4 linked regions of the Yarrowia lipolytica genome follow. The protein of the gene in region 2 purifies or fractionates together with the protein of the main gene of each other region. This does not show direct contact. Links are inferred from orthologs where the notes say so. Each region holds a gene or a part of one and is shown on either strand. Other genes may lie near its edges.

What was found.
Region 1: the proteins of YALI1_E21962g (region 2) and YALI1_D14462g purify together in Saccharomyces cerevisiae (affinity purification with mass spectrometry; 3 studies listed by BioGRID, with this or other methods). This does not show direct contact. The link is inferred for Yarrowia lipolytica from reciprocal best matches to the Saccharomyces cerevisiae genes SET2 and RPB7.
Region 3: the proteins of YALI1_E21962g (region 2) and YALI1_C17949g purify together in Saccharomyces cerevisiae (affinity purification with mass spectrometry; 3 studies listed by BioGRID, with this or other methods). This does not show direct contact. The link is inferred for Yarrowia lipolytica from reciprocal best matches to the Saccharomyces cerevisiae genes SET2 and RPB4.
Region 4: the proteins of YALI1_E21962g (region 2) and YALI1_C28063g purify together in Saccharomyces cerevisiae (affinity purification with mass spectrometry; 3 studies listed by BioGRID). This does not show direct contact. The link is inferred for Yarrowia lipolytica from reciprocal best matches to the Saccharomyces cerevisiae genes SET2 and RPC10.

Annotation. Positions count from the first base shown.
Region 1 is NC_090773.1:1,444,133-1,448,704, reverse strand, and holds YALI1_D14462g (uncharacterized protein), read left to right. Parts: upstream 1-2,471; coding exon 2,472-3,044; downstream 3,045-4,572. Other genes in the region: YALI1_D14477g (uncharacterized protein), read left to right, coding at 969-1,505; YALI1_D14453g (uncharacterized protein), read left to right, coding at 3,306-4,364; YALI1_D14431g (uncharacterized protein), read right to left, coding at 4,467-4,572. UniProt on the Saccharomyces cerevisiae protein: DNA-dependent RNA polymerase catalyzes the transcription of DNA into RNA using the four ribonucleoside triphosphates as substrates. Component of RNA polymerase II which synthesizes mRNA precursors and many functional non-coding RNAs.
Region 2 is NC_090774.1:2,192,375-2,198,664, reverse strand, and holds YALI1_E21962g (uncharacterized protein), read left to right. Parts: upstream 1-2,398; coding exon 2,399-4,705; downstream 4,706-6,290. Other genes in the region: YALI1_E21983g (uncharacterized protein), read left to right, coding at 348-1,328. UniProt on the Saccharomyces cerevisiae protein: Histone methyltransferase that trimethylates histone H3 'Lys-36' forming H3K36me3. Involved in transcription elongation as well as in transcription repression.
Region 3 is NC_090772.1:1,792,506-1,796,997, forward strand, and holds YALI1_C17949g (uncharacterized protein), read left to right. Parts: upstream 1-2,429; coding exon 2,430-2,966; downstream 2,967-4,492. Other genes in the region: YALI1_C17932g (uncharacterized protein), read right to left, coding at 1-778; YALI1_C17947g (uncharacterized protein), read right to left, coding at 1,636-2,205; YALI1_C17988g (uncharacterized protein), read right to left, coding at 4,006-4,492. UniProt on the Saccharomyces cerevisiae protein: DNA-dependent RNA polymerase catalyzes the transcription of DNA into RNA using the four ribonucleoside triphosphates as substrates. Component of RNA polymerase II which synthesizes mRNA precursors and many functional non-coding RNAs.
Region 4 is NC_090772.1:2,803,980-2,807,830, forward strand, and holds YALI1_C28063g (uncharacterized protein), read left to right. Parts: upstream 1-2,332; coding exon 2,333-2,584; downstream 2,585-3,851. UniProt on the Saccharomyces cerevisiae protein: DNA-dependent RNA polymerases catalyze the transcription of DNA into RNA using the four ribonucleoside triphosphates as substrates.

The sequences.
Region 1 (4,572 bases), on a different chromosome or scaffold from region 2:
CGTATTAGTTAGTTGACTTATCAGTTGGGTGCTTTAACAAACGACTGGAAACGTATTCGTACAAACTTGGAAGATGGCGGTTGAAAGTTGGCTGAAGAAACACCCTAAGTGCCATCCCAAAAGTTCCGCTGTTGACCCGCTGTATGTCTCACATTCCCTGATTGATGAGACACTGGTGCAATCTCCTACCTCAAAGACACAGCCTTGATAGGGAAGGGAACAGTGTACGCCAGAGGAGCACTGTGTAACAGCACTGTCAGAAGTAAACATGATCAACAGCGATACATGGATGATCAGGGAAAGATCGGAGGTTGAACTATTGCATTAAATACTGCTCATCATCAGACCTTGAACCGATATCTTACAATGAGGAAGATCGAGACAGAAAAGTTGAAGATGGCATGTAGGAAGGGGGTAGCATGGCATGATAGGTGCTCATTCCAAAGAAGCAAACACTTGTATCATGCTCCATCTGTAACACATTCTCACGCATGTACGACTCCCAATGTCTTCCTATTTTCTTCACTTACTACACTGTTATGCACATACTGTACCTCTCTTCATACAGTAGGATGTTCATCACAATGGTGTTCGGTTGAACTCAATCGTCTTCGGATAGCACCGCTTGAATGAGGTTGAGATGATCATACGGGGTTGAATTTTTATTCGAAAGAGTCCCTGTGACGAATTGATCAATTGATTTGCGTCATTTGTTTCTCAATCGCTCTTTCATTTACCACAATACACCTCTCTCTGCACAGCCCCTCGTTTCAGAACGGGTACCTGACATATGCAGGACCATCCATCTCTTGATACTCCTCTGCAATATGATGCAATGTGCTGGTTATACAGTATCTTCTGTGACAATTGCTGTATACGGTAGTCTATCTGAGTGGTGAGATATATATAAATAGTGGACACTGCTCTCAGTCCATCGCACTCCCCTCACAACTACTTTCACCATCACCATGTTCTTCAAGTACTACGCCACCCTAGCCACAGCTGCCACTGGTGTCTTTGCAGCTCCTGTTCAGGACTACAGCAACAGTCCTTCTGCTACGCGATTCACCCTTCGTCTTCACCCTGGCGCCGGGGCCATGGGAATGAAGCCTCTCCAGCTCAGAGACAACAAGGTGGTCTTTGGTCTTGAGAAGGGCAACTCCTCCGTCTCCCCACTTGAGGTGGACGTTAAGGACAAGCAGCTGGCTGTTGTGTCCAACGGACCCTCTGGTGGCGAGATTACTGTTGCTGCAAACGGCCAGCTGGTTGTCTCGCAGCCCTCCAGTACCTCCTCCAACTCCACCGCTGGCTGGCTCATCCAGGGAGGAGGCTCGTTTGTCAGCGAGGTCTACTACAAGGGCTCTCAGGAGTTTTACTCGTGCACCTCCGAAGACGGAGCTGTAGTCGGAGGCCAGGAGGTGTACCTTCTGGGCAGCGCTAACTACACCTGCGAGGAGCCATTCAAGTTCACTCTGGGAGCCACTGGCGTCCAACAACAGAAGTAAGACGCCCACACTTATTTATAGAAATGAATTTTACAACTCATCACAACACCACTCGCACTGTAGAGTAGACACACCACACAGCTTCATCTCAACCAATACTGACCAACAGTTCAAGTAACGTGCATCTACAACCACTAATTAGTTAAAGAACAGACACAAATCTGACTCCAACAATTATACAAGATCTGTTCAACCCGTCGGATATCGTCATTCTCCAATTACAAGCACCTCACTTCCCACACAGTCGTCGCTACGTACAATACTCCTTCACATTTACCCATCATCCTTAACATAAAACACCCCGAGTGGCACGTGACCCAGCAACTTTATTGCAGTGGAGGTGGGAGATACTATGATTAATAAGCAGCAGTCCACAACAGTCAGCTGAAGCAGTATTAGCGGTATCAGACACGGTACGGCGACTCTGACCAAACCCGCTCAATACAACATTGCACAATACTGCATCCTTGAGAATGAACCAGGTTCCGAAGACATTTATTCTCAACACATCTATTTACACCGCCTCTACGACATGTCTCGAGCTTCTCCCAAAACACCTTTTTTTAGCTTCACAGTTTCGTCAAGAGAGATACTCGGTCAAGACCTCCAGAAACCATCGGCATGTTTTTTGTTGTGAGTATGGGAAGGCGAAGCAGGCGCAAAGACATGAATGGATGATGTCAGACGGGTGGAATCACGTGTTCAGACACCAGATCGGCCCGTGATTCGATGGGCTGTGGTATGGTGATGTTCGACGACGAGAGAACGGTGGATGGTGTCATGTCCGTGGTGTTGAGAGGTGAGGGATGGAGGAGTGAGCATGTGACGAAGTCTCCTATCTCAGCTGAGTGTCTACTCGGTTCTTCAGCTGTACACATGACATAACACTTTCAGCACGGAACCACACGAGCACGAGCACCACAAGCGTGTTGTTTTATCCTACAAATTTGAAGCCTCTACCAGGCGATGGACGGGCGATGGAGACTCCAACGGAGCTTGGCACAACGAGGTTGCCAAATTTCCACAGAACTAACGCAGAAAGACTTGACGCTCTCTCTGACTCTGCATCCGTCATACTTTGGCCCCCAGATGGGCCAATACCTGCGGTCCAAGCTGCTGGCGGACGTGGAGGGCACTTGCACCGGAGAATTCGGCTACATTCTGTGCGTGCTGGACCAGCCGTTCGACATTGGCAAAGGCAGAGTGGTGCCTTCCAACGGCTCGGCCGAGTTCACAGTCAACTACCGAGCCATTGTGTGGAGACCGTTCAAAAACGAGGTGGTGGATGCGATAGTGACCAACGTGAACAAGATGGGCTTCTTTGGCGACGTGGGCCCCTTGTCCGTGTTTGTCTCGTCCCATCTGATTCCTCCTGACATGAAGTTCAACCCTAGCGCAAACCCACCAGCATACGTCAGTGAAGATCAGGTCATTGAAAAGGGAAGTCGGGTGCGACTGAAGATTGTCGGAGTGCGAGCCGACGTGGGAGAAATGTTTGCCATTGGTACTATCAAGGAGGATTATCTGGGTTTGGTCTAGTGTACTATAATACATATTTATATGAACTGGAGGTAGAAGTGCAATCACTAGAAGGAGATATGGAGACAATTACGATCGCTACAAACACGGCGATAGACTGACCAGTAAGTGGAGAAGCGAAGCAGAAACTCCTTGACTGATTTTAGCACCATCTTTTACTATTATCTGATCTCGCCGTATAGAATTGTGTATCGTGTTGGTTAATAACCACGACGCCTGCATTATCAACCTAAACATAATGCAGATGAAGAGTGTGTCATCATGACATCTCCGTCATACAACTCCGTCAACATGCCACCAACTTCTCTCGTCACCGGCTCCACTGGATTTTTGGCCAGCCACGTGGTCGACCAGCTGCTCAGCGCAGGTCATAGAGTCATCGGTACGGTTCGATCCCCCCACAAAGCCGCACGTCTGGCTGAGGCCTTCAAGCAGCAGATTGCTTCAGGCCAATTGGAGCTGGAAACGCTTTCCGACGTGAGAAACGCCGGTGAATTCAAGGCCATTTTCGAAAAACATCCCGAGATCAAGTACATTTTGCACACGGCTTCCCCCTTCAACTACAACACGACTGACCCCGAGAAGGAGATGCTCCAACCAGCGGTCGAAGGAACTACAACCGTACTCAAGGCAGCCAAGGACCATGCCCCCAACGTCGAGAAGGTGGTTATCACTTCTTCGCTCGCTGCCATTCTCAACATTGCCACGTTCAACGATCCCTCCACTACCCTGACCGAGAAGGACTGGAACCCCATCACCTGGGAACAGGCGGCCGAGAAGGGCAACCCCTATGCCAACTATATTGGATCAAAGGCCATGGCTGAAAAGGCGTCTGTGGAGTTTGAGAAGATGGAGAAACCCAAGTTCAAGCTCACCTGGGTCAACCCCGTGCTCATTCTCGGTCCAGGTATCATTCTCGATCCACTGGCCATTAACACCTCCAATGAAGCCATTGTAACCAACGCTTTTGAAACCAAGCCCGGGCAAAAGCCTCCCGTCAAAGCTGGTTACTTTGTTGACGTGCGCGACTGCGCCAAAGCCCATGTTTCTGCTCTCAACCCCGAGTTTGACGGACGAAGACTCTTCCTATCCACCTCAAAGTACTGCACCCAGGACTTTCTGAACATTGCCAACCAGCTACCCGAATTCAAGGGAAAGATCGCCGAGTTTGACCCTATCGAGCGGGAGAAGGAGTTGCATTCGTTAGCCCAGATCGACAACTCGGCCACGTTGAAACTGCTCAACTACGACCTCATCTCCCTGGAGCATTCCGTCACAGATTTTGCCAAAGAGTGGCTTTCTTACGAGCGGAACGACTAGCCATGACCCTCACTGAAGAACAAGTGGCTTCACATTATAGAAATTCATTCGATAGAGATACAATACCATCATTTAGATAAATGCAATATAAATTAGTTTTACTCAAGAAAAGTCCCTAATGGCAACAATGTCAGGCCGAACAGCCACCAGCTTGTCAAAAACGTCCATCATGACACTCTCGGCACTCTCCCGCTTGCCCTTTTCTTCT
Region 2 (6,290 bases):
GCCGTTTGTTCCACCACCAAATTCGCGATATTCGTCATTCTCGACTCCTACAGGGTTCATGCGAGTGTTGTGAAAAATATCCCATGGTTTGAGCTAAACAGCACGGTCAGGAGGGGGTTATGGTGGTCAGATTTGGACCACGGATATTTCGTTGTGGTTTTTGAAGCCGTAGAAATTGATTCCACAAACAAAAACCGTCATTTTCAAGCCGCAACACCCTCTTTCGGTCTCTGACCCACCTGCATGGTTGGTCGATAAAGTTATCGTGCATAGCTGGGAAATTTTTATAAAGAAGCTTTCTTCTTCTCACCACCATTGTTGACCCGACCTCTTACCGCACACCCACAATGTCCCTCCCATACTCCGAGCAGCACTACTTTTCGTCGTACGACCACTTTGGCATCCATGAGGAGATGCTCAAGGACGAGTCGCGAACTCTGTCGTACAAGCACGCAATTCTGCGAAACCGAGACCTGTTCAAGGACAAGATTGTGCTGGATGTGGGCTGTGGAACCGGCATTCTGTCCATGTTTGCTGCGCAGGCCGGTGCCAAGCATGTCATGGGCGTGGACATGTCCAACATCATCGAGATGGCCCGAAAGATTGTCGATCTTAACGGACTCAGCGACAAGATTACCCTGATCCAGGGCAAGATGGAGGAGATCACCCTACCCTACCAGAAGGTGGACATTATCATCTCCGAGTGGATGGGCTACTTCCTGCTCTACGAATCCATGCTGGACACGGTGCTGTACGCCCGAGACAAGTACCTGGTCCCCGGAGGTATTATCATGCCCGACAAGTCCACCATCTACGCCGCTCTTTTGGAGGACGGCGAGTACAAGGACGAAAAGGTGTCCTTCTGGGACGACGTCTACGGCTTTGACTACTCGCCCTTCAAGGACATTGTGCTGTCCGAGCCTCTGGTCGACACCGTGGACCTCCGACACGTCATCTCCAACCCCTGCCAGGTGTTTGAGATCGATCTGTACACCGTCAAGGTGGAGGATCTGGCCTTCAAGGCCAACTTTGACCTCAAGGCCCGGGTCAACGACACTGCCCACGCTATTCTGTGTTGGTTCGACATTGAGTTCAACAAGCTCACCACCCCCGTCAAGTTCTCCACCGGCCCCCATGCCAAGTACACTCACTGGAAGCAGACTGTCTTCTACATTGACGGCCAGGTGTCTCTGCGAGCCGGTGACGAGGTGACTGGATCCATTGACTGCCGACCCAACGAGAAGAACAACCGAGATCTGGACATTACTCTGGAGTGGGAGTGCAAGGCTGAGAACAAGGGCGGCAAGCGATTTTACTGCATGAAATAAGCTGGCACGACGACTACTGTAGATCCCACTGTCGGCTCACCGAGTGGCAAGCCAAGCTGTGGCTTTCACTGGAACGGTCTAACAAAAAATTATGTATAGAATGTTAATTGTATTTTTTATGACGACTAACAAGCGGCGAGTACAAGTGAGAGAGATGTGGGTGCTAGGAGACCATTTCTGCTCTATTTCTGCTTTGCAGTACAAATCCTACACCCATCTAGTACATACCAACTAAATCTTACTTTTCTTCCACTAATCACACTCAACAACGAGACGCTGAAATGAAGATATCTCTGATTATTGTGGTGTAGAGATTCTCAAAAGTCATTATTACTTATCAAGTTGCTGATCGACTATCCACACAGCAACTTTCCTAGTCTCCACCGTTTCTACAACCCCGTAAATGAACCCCCAGCTGAATTTTCATCCCCAGTAATTTCAACTAACTTCCTCAACTAGATTGTTAAGATTAGAAGCAGTTCTGTCATCGTCTTGACTCCAACAACCGTGTCTCAGTTCGATTTCCGGTTGGAAAATTTTGATCCGAAAAATTAACGAGCCAATCAATCACACCGAGAAACGAAAGAAAAAGACGGCGGTCACGTGACCCGAGCCAAGGGGGGGAAGGGGCGGGGGGGGAGCCGGGGGGGGTGGGTCACGTGTTTGGACTGTATGGGCTCCGGCTAGGTCACGTGTTTGGATTGATAATGGTAGCTTCTTGTACTAAACTTGTACAGGTCTCCATGGGTGTAATTAGGATTACGCGCATGTACGGCGTTTTGCGTGTATTTTTCATCCCACCATCAGATTGCCTATCGTGTGATGTCTGGGGGGTTGAAAAAATGGCAAGAAAAGCAGCTGAAAAAAGTGCTGATAAGTAGCATTATATATATACATATATATATCTGTGTGTCATGTTGCCCCAAACTCTGGTTGGGTCGTTTCACGTGCACAATCACGTCCTCACCTCCATACAATAATCTGTACTGGTGGTGCTACTGTCGACATATGCACAACCTCCCAGCGGCGTTTCTCTCCACCATCACGACCTGCGCCCTCTCAACATCGACATGTCGGGCAACAACTCACCAATAAACGCGCAGCTGTTCCCCGATGCTCGCGACGTGACCAAGGACGCGCTTCAGACATTTGTGGAGCTCCCGGAGTGCACGTACATGAAGGGTCTGGGCTCGTCTCAGCAGGCGGAAGTCATGGCGTGTGACTGTAAGCCCGGGCCCACGGCGTGTGACGAGGACAGCGGGTGCATCAACCGACTCACTTCCATCGAGTGTGTTCGGTGCTGCAAGGGCTGTCAGAACAAACGGTTCCAGGGCAAAAAATACGCATCGGTGGACGTGATCAGCACAGAAAAGAAGGGGTTTGGACTGCGGGCCACCAAGGACATCGCCGCCGGCGAATTTGTCTACGAGTACGTGGGCGAGGTGATTGACGAGCCGACCTTCAAGGAGCGAACGGCCATCTACACGACCCAGGGCGTCAAGCATTTCTACTTTATGATGCTGCAAAAGGGCGAGTTCATCGACGCTACCGCCAAGGGAGGACTGGGTCGGTTCTGCAACCATTCGTGCGCGCCTAATGGCCACGTGGAAAAGTGGGTCGTGGGCAAACGGCTCAGAATGGGCATTTTCGCATCTCGACACATTCAAAGGGGAGAAGAGGTCACGTTTGACTACAACGTGGACCGGTACGGAGCCGAGGCCCAGGCGTGCTACTGCGGCGAGAAAAACTGTGTCGGCTTTCTCGGCGGAAAAACGCAGACGGAAAGCGCCAGCAAGGTCTCCGGCACCTTGACCGCTGCTCTGGGTCTCACGTCCAGAGATATCAACGCCATTCTGAGAGGCAAAAAGTCGGCCGAGGACTTGCGACCCCGAGACCTGACCGTGCAGGACGTGTCCAAGGTCATGGCGTCTCTCATGATGAACCAGGAAGCCTGGCAGGTCAACCTCATGCTGCAGCGTATTGCTCTGTGCACAGACACGTCCGTCCAGGCAGCAGTCATGAAGATGCATGGATACCAGATCTTCGCGCAGATTCTGACCGCCACGTGGGGCGACAATCCTCTTGGGCTGGACGACAGCGACCGCGTGAACGTGACGCTGATGCTGCTGCGAGTCCTGCAAAAGTGGCCGCGAATCACAAAGAACAAAATCTCCAGTTCGCAGATTGAAAACGTGGTCAAGAGCCTGACGTCCAACGACAACAGTGACATTGCCACCATTGCCCAGGAGCTCTTGTCTGAATGGGCAAACCTGAAAATGGCTTTCCGAATCCCACGACGAAAAATTGATCCCGACGGAGACGAGCATTCGGTCTCTAGAGGTACCAGCGAGGAGGTCACCAAGGAGAGCTCCAAGTCTGAGGAGCCCAATGATGTGGAAGTTGTCAAGGTGAACAAAAAAGCAGATAACAACGGAAACGGCGTTACTGATTCGCCGTCCACCCGCTCGGAATCCCCCTTCACCTTCATCCCCACCCCCTACTCTAACAAAACAGCCCCCAAGGGCCCCAAGAAGGCCGTCAAGCAGCCTGCATCACCCATGGTGCCTCCAAGGAGCCTGCCTAAGGGCTGGCAGTTTGCGAACGACCCGCAGGGCAAGGTGTACTACTACAATCTCGAGCTGAACATCCAACAGTGGGATTTCCCCAAGGCGTCACGTGCGAGCTCACCCTCGACCCCCAAGGGCCCCAAGGGCCCCAAGGGTCCCCGTGGCAACCGTCGAGACGAGAGACGGGACAATTCCGAGACCCGAGAGCCGCTTTCTTTGCAGTCACAGCGCGAGAGTGATCTCCAGCGCATCATTGAGCAGGCTCGGTTGCAGGAGGTGAAAAATAACAGCGAGCCGGCTCCTTCTGCGTCTGCCAAGCCCGTGAACGCGCAGGCGCATCGGCTGACTAAACTGCTGGCCAAGGTGGTGCCCAATCAAGTGTCCAAATACGACGTTGATCGGGAGCGGGCGAAAAAGTGTTCTAAGGACATTGTGCAGATTCTGGTGGACAAGGAGCTGAAACGTCCGGAGCCCATGACTGAGATTAGTGATGAGAAGGCCAAGAAAATCAAGGAGTTTGTCAAGGGCTACATGGGCAAGGTGGTCAAGCGGTTGGAGGAGAAGGAGGGTGGGGCCAAAGATTTTGGCCGTGGTCGACAAGGTAACCGACGAGACTCTGAGCGGCAATCCGACCGACGTGGTAGACAAGGTCAGTCGGACCGCGATCACTCTGACAATCACGGACGAAAAAGAAAGGGCGAAGAAAACCAGCCGTATGAAGCTGGACCAATGTATGACGACGAAAGTGCCGAAACGTCGACGGAGACGGTCAAGAAGCCCAAGGTTGATATGGAGATTGATTTGGAGTGATTGCTACAGTTGCAATAGGTGTATAAATAGTATGTATATTAGGAATGGTGTTGTATTTTATTGGTTGTGGATGTAATTAGCACGTCCTACCGTGTACTCTAGTAATGTGCAAAGTTTCTATGCGCTCTGAACTACGATAACAGGAATGTTTGACAGAAATGCAGCACTTTTTTGTGATTATCACCTTGGAATTGTTTTTCGGATCACGGGTACATTTATAGATAATGAGCAGTATTGCATAAGACAGGGGTGAGCATCAATGGATTCAGTTTGTCATTCGTCATTCTTCGGTTGAGCTCTGAGGGATGGCATCGTGACCTCTCCCAACTAAATTCAAGTAAATTGCAATATCTATGGGGTACTTGAATCATGATTATCTCGTTTTTTTATATGAAAAGGGGCCGAATATAATACTTTTATTGATCTGTCACTTTTCTGGACAATTTGGTTCTGCTCTCTTTTTCCGGCGGTTTCTGTAACCTCTTATTTGAACCCCCAGCCGACTTTTTCTCTTAACAAAAGTCAACTAATGTGGAACAAGTGGGAATTCACATACAGGTATGTACTGTATATACTGTGGACCCAGACAACACCATTTGAATCTGGAGAGCGTCGGGATTGTGAGAGAGACCATAAGCGTTGTAATTCCACAATCTGCAGCAATAATCAGTGAAAAAAATCCGTAACAAGAATCCATTCTACCATCTTGAACACTTCCGAGCACCCTACAACTGGATACAGCTGGGTACAGCTCCGTACAGCTCCGTACATCTGTTGCTCTCGACGATTTGACGAGTGGTTTTTGACATCTGTAGTCATGTGGGGTTTGATGACTAAGCGGCTTGTGAACATGCTATACACACCCCACTTTGGACATACTGTACAAGTAGCTTTAGCTGTAGCCAGTACTTGAACCTGTAGCCACCCAGAAGTCACAGTTGAGAAGCCGTTCATCAACTGACGACAATAAAGTGCCGCTAGCACAAATGGGCCCATGTTTCGAAGTCTACGGGGAAAGTGGAAATTTCTAGCGACTTGAGGGGAATACTATCACCACCGTCATCTCCTTTTGGTAGGTGTAGTACGCCACACATGCATGCACCGACTGCACCATTACGGTAGGTACCTGTCCTGTATCCAGCAGGCACCACAGTCAGGGCCAATGGCGGACGTGAAACAACGACTCATTTGAGTCATTTGAGAGGGTTTGAGGAGCGTTGAACTTTGCGAGTGTCTTGAAAGCGTTTTTGCGGCTATTTCGGCTGTTATTTGAGCCAATAAACAAATAAATGACATAAATAGATAATAAATTGATAAATAAAATAAAATAAAATAATTAATAAATAAAAAATAAATAAATAAATAAATAATTAAAATAAATAAATAAATAAATAAATAAAATAAAATAAAACCTATATCGAGAGTACAAGTACAGTACCTCCACAAGCTGGTCAATGTTTTGCGTGTACGGTAATGTTGTACGATGCACTTGTATTATTACTCAAAGAGCAACAATATCGATTTTCCAATTATATCTGATTTTTTTCCCCCAATTATTTCCGATTATCATATCCCAGTATATTCT
Region 3 (4,492 bases), on a different chromosome or scaffold from region 2:
AGTACTTCTTGCCCTCCTCGTCGGGGCTGGTTCCATCCTTGAGGAGCTTCTCGGACATGACAGTGCCAGGTCGAGGGTTCAGGAACGAGTAGGTAGGCATCAGGTACTCGTAGACTCGAGAAGAACACAACTTTCGGCACTCAAAAGCCTTGTTGGTTCGAGAAACGCCCCAGACACGCAGCTGCTCGGGCAGATGGCTGTTGATCTTCTCCACAATGTTCTCGTCCTCAATGATCATCTTCAGAGAGATGACGTTACCGGCGGCATGCACACCCTTATCGGTTCGAGCAGCTCGCATGAAAGCCGACTTTTTGGGGTCGTCGGCGTTGTTCTGAGAGATGGCCCCGGCCTTGACAAAGGCCTGAAAGATATCACCCTCAATGGTCTTTTGGGGAGGATTCAGTTGCATGCCATGGTAACCAGTTCCACAATATCCAATCATACAGGCAACCTTTCGCTTGGGCTGTCGCACCTCGTCGGCCACCAGAGGACCGTCCGTCTTTCGACGTGTATCTCGGCCCTCGCCCTGCTTCTCCTGCTCTCGTTGTCGGTCGCCTCGTCGGTCCATCTTCTGCTTCTTGGCCTGGTGATCGCCTCGAGGTCGGTTCCAGTTGCCTCCCTTGCCTCGCTTCTGGCCGAGATCGTGCTGCTCAGCCGAGTCGCCGGACGCACTGTTGCCGACGACGGGGGTGGTGGTAGGTTCGCTCATGGTGACGGGGAAAAATCGGCCTTTCAACGGAATCAGACGTTTGATCACTTGCAAAAAATTACCTTTCATGCAGTAGAATATTTTTCGCTGAGAAATGCGAACTACAAGTACAACAAGCTGTTCTGGATAACCATAAATCCGACAGCAAAGCCAGCATTACAGAAGCAAGAGCTTCGGGGCGAGCCCGTTTCTGGCTCCTCTGGATTTATTTGTAGTTTTTAATTCGATTTAATTCGGTTTTAAATCATATTTATGAAAAAAAAAATACAGGGCTGTACTCGTCATACTCGTACCTGTAGTAGCAGAATAACAGTTCCAAGATAACAGACACACTCCCGGTTCTCTCTTTGATGGCATTAAATGTATGTATATATAGAATTCATTACTTATTTCATGGATGAATTTCGAATATTTCTAAAACACCCCGAAAATCGACAGAAAAATATAAAAAATTTCCTTTTTTTCTCCCTTTTTTTTTTGAAAACTCTAATAAAAAAATTTAAACAAACTTCATCGTCATTGGACATGCAGGTAAATTTCAACTTGACAACAGTGGTATTGTAGCTACAAGTAGATAAATATGCCCTGGATAGCCTTTGGGCGTCAGTCCAATGATGGTTGGTCTGACGGATCTTCAACCAGTCATTTAAAACATGTTACATTACAATTTTGGTGCTCGTAAGCCAAGGTGTTGAGACAGGGTCAGACACAGGCTGAGATACTCCGTAGCCATGATCATAAGGCCGACTCCCTAGGGTTCAGTTTCGGTAGATATCAGTCATCAATTGAGATACCAGCCAACAATTGAGATACCAGCCAACAATTGAGATACCAGCCAACAGGAGATATCCGAGTTCAGGCCAGTCGCATAGCCAGTACAACGACCACAGGCAGCGGCATTCCAACAGGATCCAGCTTGAATCCGCTTATTTCTCCCACAAGGTGTAAACGAAAGAAAAGCCCTTCTCTTCCACAGGAGTATCTCGTCCAGGAAGCTCCACCTTGTCTCCCACAAAGTCTTGGAGACGTTCATAAGGCTGCTTCTTCCACAGACCCTGGTCAAAGCCCTCGAAGAAGGTGTCACATTCCACGTGGCCGTCGGGACAGGTAATTTCTGTCAAAAGCACGGCCTTTGTATGTTCGTGGACCAGCGCGGTCTTGTAAACCTGAGATCCGCCGATGACGTAAACGGTAGAATCCTCGGGGCACTTTGTAAGCGCTTCGTCGAACGACCGGGCGACTACAACCTCCTCGGGAGCGTCAGTCATGGGTCTAGAAGTGAGAACAATGTTGGTTCGATCAGGAAGAGGTCTGAACTTGGGGGGAATGGAGTCCCAGGTGGTTCGTCCCATGATGACGACGGCGTTCTTCTGGGCTGTAGTCACCTGTTTGAAGAACTTCATTTCTTTGGCTAGTCTCCATGGAAGTCCTCCATTGAGTCCGATGCCATATCGGGGCACTGTGGCTGCCAGAATGAGCGTAGTTGAAGGAGGCATTTTTGTCAGTGTTTGGTGCTGTTTCTTGTGCCCTGCCAGTGTACCAGTTGATCTGACGCGTATAATTTAGACTTAACGCGTGACCCAAATGGCGTAAATTAGCCTACCCAGCGGGGATTCGAACCGAGTGGATTTTAATCTTCAGTCCAATATGCACTGGTGGAAACACCACTGTCTGTGATCATCAACCCACAAAACCACACAAGACACACACACACACAACAATGAACGTGTCTACAAGTACTGTTCAGCAGCAGCGACGAAAGCCCACGACCGTCAACGCGGTGCAGGACGAGGATGCAGCCCAGCTGAAACTCGGACCCGAGTTCGACGTGACCCAATACACCCACGACGGGTTTGAGACCGCCCTCACAGCTCTGTCGACCTCAGAGGCCCGATCTCTCATTAACCATACGCTCAAGAAGCGAAAGAATGACGCATTGGGTATTGAGAACACGGAAGACGATACCCTGGACGACGAGGAGGAGATCAACGCCAATGACGTGCTGCGAAAGACCCGGGAGTACATGAACATCTTCTCGCGGTTCCGAGAACAGCAAAAGGTGGCTGCGGTGGCCCAGATTCTGCGTCACCAAGACAACGCCGATCTGCATCCGTTTGAAATCGCCCAGCTCGGAACTCTGTCGTGTGATGGAGCCGAGGAGGCCAAAACTCTGATTCCCTCTCTGGCTGCCAAGCGAACCGACGCCCAGCTCCAGGAGCTGCTGGATCTGGTCAGAGAACATGACCGAGAAAACTAAACGGTGCTGTATTATAAATGGTGCTACAAGGTGGGTAATATATATTGTATAACAGCGGGTATGTGGACCACAGGCTAATGTGGTACGAGTAGCTGATGTACTCAAAGAGATATGACACAACATGACTACGGAATTACCGAGTTCACACTGCCGTTTAAACGGTACTGTACTTACTGTCGATACATACACTTGTACCCACGAGAACACATGCCCAAACACACACAGTCCCTCCATTCATGAACATATCAGGTATTTTTCATTGTCGTCAGGATGCTCTCGGTTGGCTCCATCGCGGTATATATATTCTGAATCTTAGTAAGCAAAAAAAATGGCCAAAAAAGGCAAAAAAAGATCAGCCCGACGTGGGGCTTGAACCCACAGCCTTGAGATGACCTTAGAGTAAGAGTCTCACGCTCTACCGATTGAGCTAGCCAGGCGATTTTTCTTTTAAAAAAGTCGTGTTTATCCATATCCAGGATTTACTTAGTCAGCAAAAATTATAATAATAAAAATAAACGATTTACAAGTGTATGATTTATTGAATGCCAATAACCTGGCCTACTAGGTATATAGCCGTAATGAATCATTAGAATAAAATATATAAAAAAACCTCAAGAAACAGTAGCTGAAATGTATTTCCCTAGAATAAAACGAGAAAAAAAAGGGGGAATAAAACACCAAAAAATCGAAAAAATTGCTACCTGTCGCAGGTCTGGGTCAAAAGATCATAAATTCAAATTGAATGTCCTTGGAGATATGTTTTGGTTCATTTCAACTCGATTCTGAAATATTCTGAATATTTTTGAGACTAAGCTGTCAAGTATGGAATAAAGATAAAAGGTATAATCACCATAAAAGCAAATAAAATCAATGAGAGCACATAAGTGATGTTTTGTTCCGGATAAATCCTATGCAAGTCTTCTTAATTTGTCTGATCACTTCTTTTGGGCTTTATTCAAGATCTTCCCTACAAGTACTTGTACTAATACACGTACAACTTCATCATTAAATCTAGTGTTATTAAATAGGTTAGAATTACTTAGTTTCGCTTGGCTCGGCCAATATGGGTGTTGTTGACCTTGGTGGCGAAGCGCAGAGAATTGATGGTCTCGGAAGCATGAGCCTGCATGGGAGAAACGTTGACCAACATGAGGGTTTTGGAGTTGCCGCCAAGCGAGTACTGCAAGAGATACGTGAGCTTGGAGTTTCTGTAGGGGATATGAGAGCCCTCCTTGGCAGTTCCTAGAGCATGTATCACGTCACCGAGACACGCCAGAGACTTGTTGATGTTCTGTGTTTCTCGTAGTCGGTCCCCAGTAGCGCCACTGTGGTTGAGACGCTCACTGCCTGCCAGGTCGATGAGATTGAGACGTCCGTCGCAGGACTCCCCAGTCACGTGGTTCTGGCCCTTGAGACTCACGATAAAGACGGAATGCGATCGCGAGGACCGCTCGTTGGCCTTGGTCGCAGCCACCATTCGGTTCTTATCTGACTTTCGCAACAGTCGGTTCACAAACTCGATATCT
Region 4 (3,851 bases), on a different chromosome or scaffold from region 2:
CAATGGAATTCACTAGCGCCCTGTTCGGAGCTTCGCTCATCCAGTCCAAGCACAAGACCGTCAAGAAGCACAACCTGGTCAACAGCTGCTGTTGCTCCAAGCCCGCAGAGAAGCCTACCAACTCCTGCACTTGCTCAAAGTGTGCTTGCGAATCTTGCAAGTGTTAATTTATTGGAACAAGTACCATTACCAGCACTGGCTGTCTAATACATTTTCTTAACTAATTATTTTAAATGTTGTAGAGAGTCAAGTAAATAGTGTCCGAGAAGTAACATCAACAACCTTCCTCAATAACAACATGGTGAAAGGAGCAATGCAACCACATTGCTGAAATATCATAATGAGTAGAATAATAGGCTGGATCAAATGGAATTGTATCAGTTTACCCTATAGAACCCTCTAGAGCAGAGGAGCATGTTGAGCTGTTCTAATCTCTGGACTATCGATAATGCAGATGGATGATTGCATGCAGGAGTATGTAATGTATGTACTGTAGCCACTGCATTGAAAGCTCATTACAAAGTACAGTACTGTAGGTGATTTTTTTTGGGGATATTACAGTAAACCTCTTTTACACCCATCCTTACCTCATTACCGGACCCTGCCCGACACTGTCCTTGGTTCTTGATAACTTTGGACACTGGAGTCACGAAGCTCTTCACAGAGCTGAAGAAAGAGGAGGTTGAGGATCTACATATGGAATAATGCTGCTGGGGGGAACATTGCGGTAAAAACTTAACCCGGTGTGATTTTTACCCTGACTTAACTGTCTTTTGCTCCACTCATGTATATGACTCTCCTTTTACCCTCGAATGAAGATGCAGAGTCTGCTGAAGCTCCTACTCCATCTTCAGGCTCACCCTTTAATGGACCCTTTCACTAATCCCACCTCGCCCCGGACCATTAACATACAATCAAATACATTATATACATAGATACATACAAGCAAGCAAGCAAACAAACAAAACGTTCCTAACCCTCCTTTCAATCACCCCGGAACATGGGCAAGGAAACAGAGGAAGAGTAATAAGTAGACGGGTTAACATCCATGTGAGGATGGGAGGTAGAGTGGTTGAGTGAAGGAGCCGATCCAGACATCATCTGCTGGATGATGGACGCCTCCTGACGCAGGTTTTCCACTCCCTTGGCCATCTTATTGATGTTGGACGAAAACTCATTCTCCATAGCCTGACGCTTGGCTTGTCGTTTTCCTCGCTCAGCCATGAGTCGCTGCAGACAGTTGTCGAGCTCCCCGCGGTACGTGAAGCCCAGCAAGATACTAGTGATTCTTCCGCTCCCTTTTTGTCGGCAGCAGCACACTTCAAATCCATCTCATTCTGCGCAGCTGAATGATGTAAATTTCTCAGAAACGGCACAGCTGAAGTACATACAGCTACCCTACTGTACGTTCGAGATGAGATGGAGAGACAGGGGGCTCGCTCTTATCGCAGCTTTTGATTGCCCTGCGGTAGCGACAGCTGAAGGAAATGTCTTGTTTGAGACCCACTGCGTAGGGGCTATTGCGTCTGAGGTCCTCGTATGAACATCCCGAGCGTCTTCAGGACGAAACATTGCACTAGCCTTTCCCCTTTAAAACAAGGAGTCTTGCGAAATCTCAGATATCCAATATTCACCTTCGCAGACATCCCATATTTACCTTCGCAGACATCCCATGTTCACCTTCTTAGCCGTTGTGCTATGAAGGTGGCCATGGGGTGACGATGAAAGTCGCATGTTGTACACAAACTCGAATAGTTTCGTCTAGTGTATCGTATCAACTTTTCTACCTCTTCGATTAACACCAATATGATCCTTGTAGCACTCAATGGTCTATCTGAAATGATATGATATCAGATCAGATGCTGTACCAGAAAGTATACTGATCAGAAGCACACTATTAACGGTCTCTCCTTTTTATTTCACACAATTCTAAACTTTATTTTATAACACTCGAACTCGCTGAATTCAGCCGCATTCACTGAAAATAGCTCGCGAAAACGAATATTTTCCAGCTCGTAACCTATATGAAATCCTCCACTCATCACAAAATGCTCTCAAACTCGTTTGATGCTCTTTCTTAAGTTCTCATTAACGTCTCAAAATCTTAACCTTCCATTCAATATACACCTCCAAATCAACAATCGTGAACGAGATATCTTTGATTACATAATCCAACGAGTAATTACGTGACCAAAAGCATGGATATCGCAAATAAATCTCACTGCGCGAAATAACTTCAATCTTGTCCTTTGCTCCACCTCTCGCACAGCTTACGCCTACCGCTCACAGTCTATGCTTAGTAACAAACCTTGTCAAAATATTTTAATTTTGTATGCAGGAATTTTCGCCTCCATCTTCAACTTTGCAACACAACATGAACAAGGAATCGTTTTCTCCTTCGCTTGATTCGCAGAACCTGTCTGCCTCCGCCTCCGGAGTGGCCAACAACAAGTCGTACGCCGTCAAGTACCTGTGTGCCAACTGTTCGTCCAAGGTGGTTCTCATCCGAGGCGATCCAGTTCGATGCAAGGAATGCGGTCATCGAGTTTTGTACAAGGAGCGGGCCAACTACACTGGTGAGTAAAGCGGGTGTGCTATAGATGCCGTGGCGACGTCGCGGTGGGTGCTACCTCCAGCGTTTGATGGTGTGATGGTGGCAAGCTGGGTCACAGTGTGTCATGAGAGAGAGAGTGAAGAGGGGATACACTGCGCGTGACACGGAGAGTGTGATGAAGGAGAAGCGTCACAGGTGGCAGTGAAGAATCGACAGGAAGAGATTGGACTCAACGATTCGTTTATGGGGTGATGGGCTTATTTGGAGATATGAAACATTACGAATCGACACAGGACAGAATATGGGCCACGGACGAATCCGTGGTTGAGGGCTGAAGGGCAGCATCATGAAAAGTGATGGAAACGTAGCTACTGGATCTGGATGTTGGTTTGATGCAGCAGATTCAACAGTTCCGTTCAGACAACAAATTCCAGTGAAGCGATACGTGGATAAGGTCGAAAAGTTGTAGGTCATCCGTGGCGACAGCAAGAGTGACCTATAATGTTTCTTCTGGACCATGGATAGTGCTCCAAACCCAGTGTGCAGTGTTTGGTATCATAAGACTTCTGCCTGAGCGACGATAGCTCTACCTGATAGCTCTGCCTGAAGTCGGGATTGTCCGCCTGTTCTGGTTGTGTCTGTGTCTGAATCCATCCGAGCCTGAATGTGTCTGATTCTGCCTCTCTGTTGTATATATCCGTCACTAACTGGGTATCTGTGATTCTGCCCGTGTTTCACTCTGCTTCCTGTTTGCTTCAATCTGATCGTCTGTTCGATTCAGCTCGATGTCTCAGCTCCGAGTTCCCAAACGCCTTATTGGTGCCCTCTGCCTTATCTGGATACCCTGTCCCACTGCTTACCGCCTCTTGCCTCTCACATCACTATGGTGCCTTGATCGCAAGCTCCACCAATTCAATCCAGCCCAATCAACCAATACTAACGCAGTCCAATTCTCCGCCAGATAGTTTAGTTATTTATATATTGTATACTAGAGCAGAAATACAGCAGCATTGGTTTGGAACACTGAGAATCGTTGAGGGAGTTACTAAGCAGATTGTTCAGCACAAGTGTAAACTCATTTCGAGAGAGCTGGTACGAAATGGAGACAGTGCTAGAGTCATTGAATCAGAAGAAATTACCGTTAAATGAGGGGTTGACTCTTCCATGACACCTGCTTCCAGACAGACGCAATCTATTGACGATGAAATGCCTCGACACAGCTTATGAACCACTAGTATACAAGTACTTGAACTGGTTGAATTGGAAGCTGCGGGGAGACAGACGGATGTTTAGTACG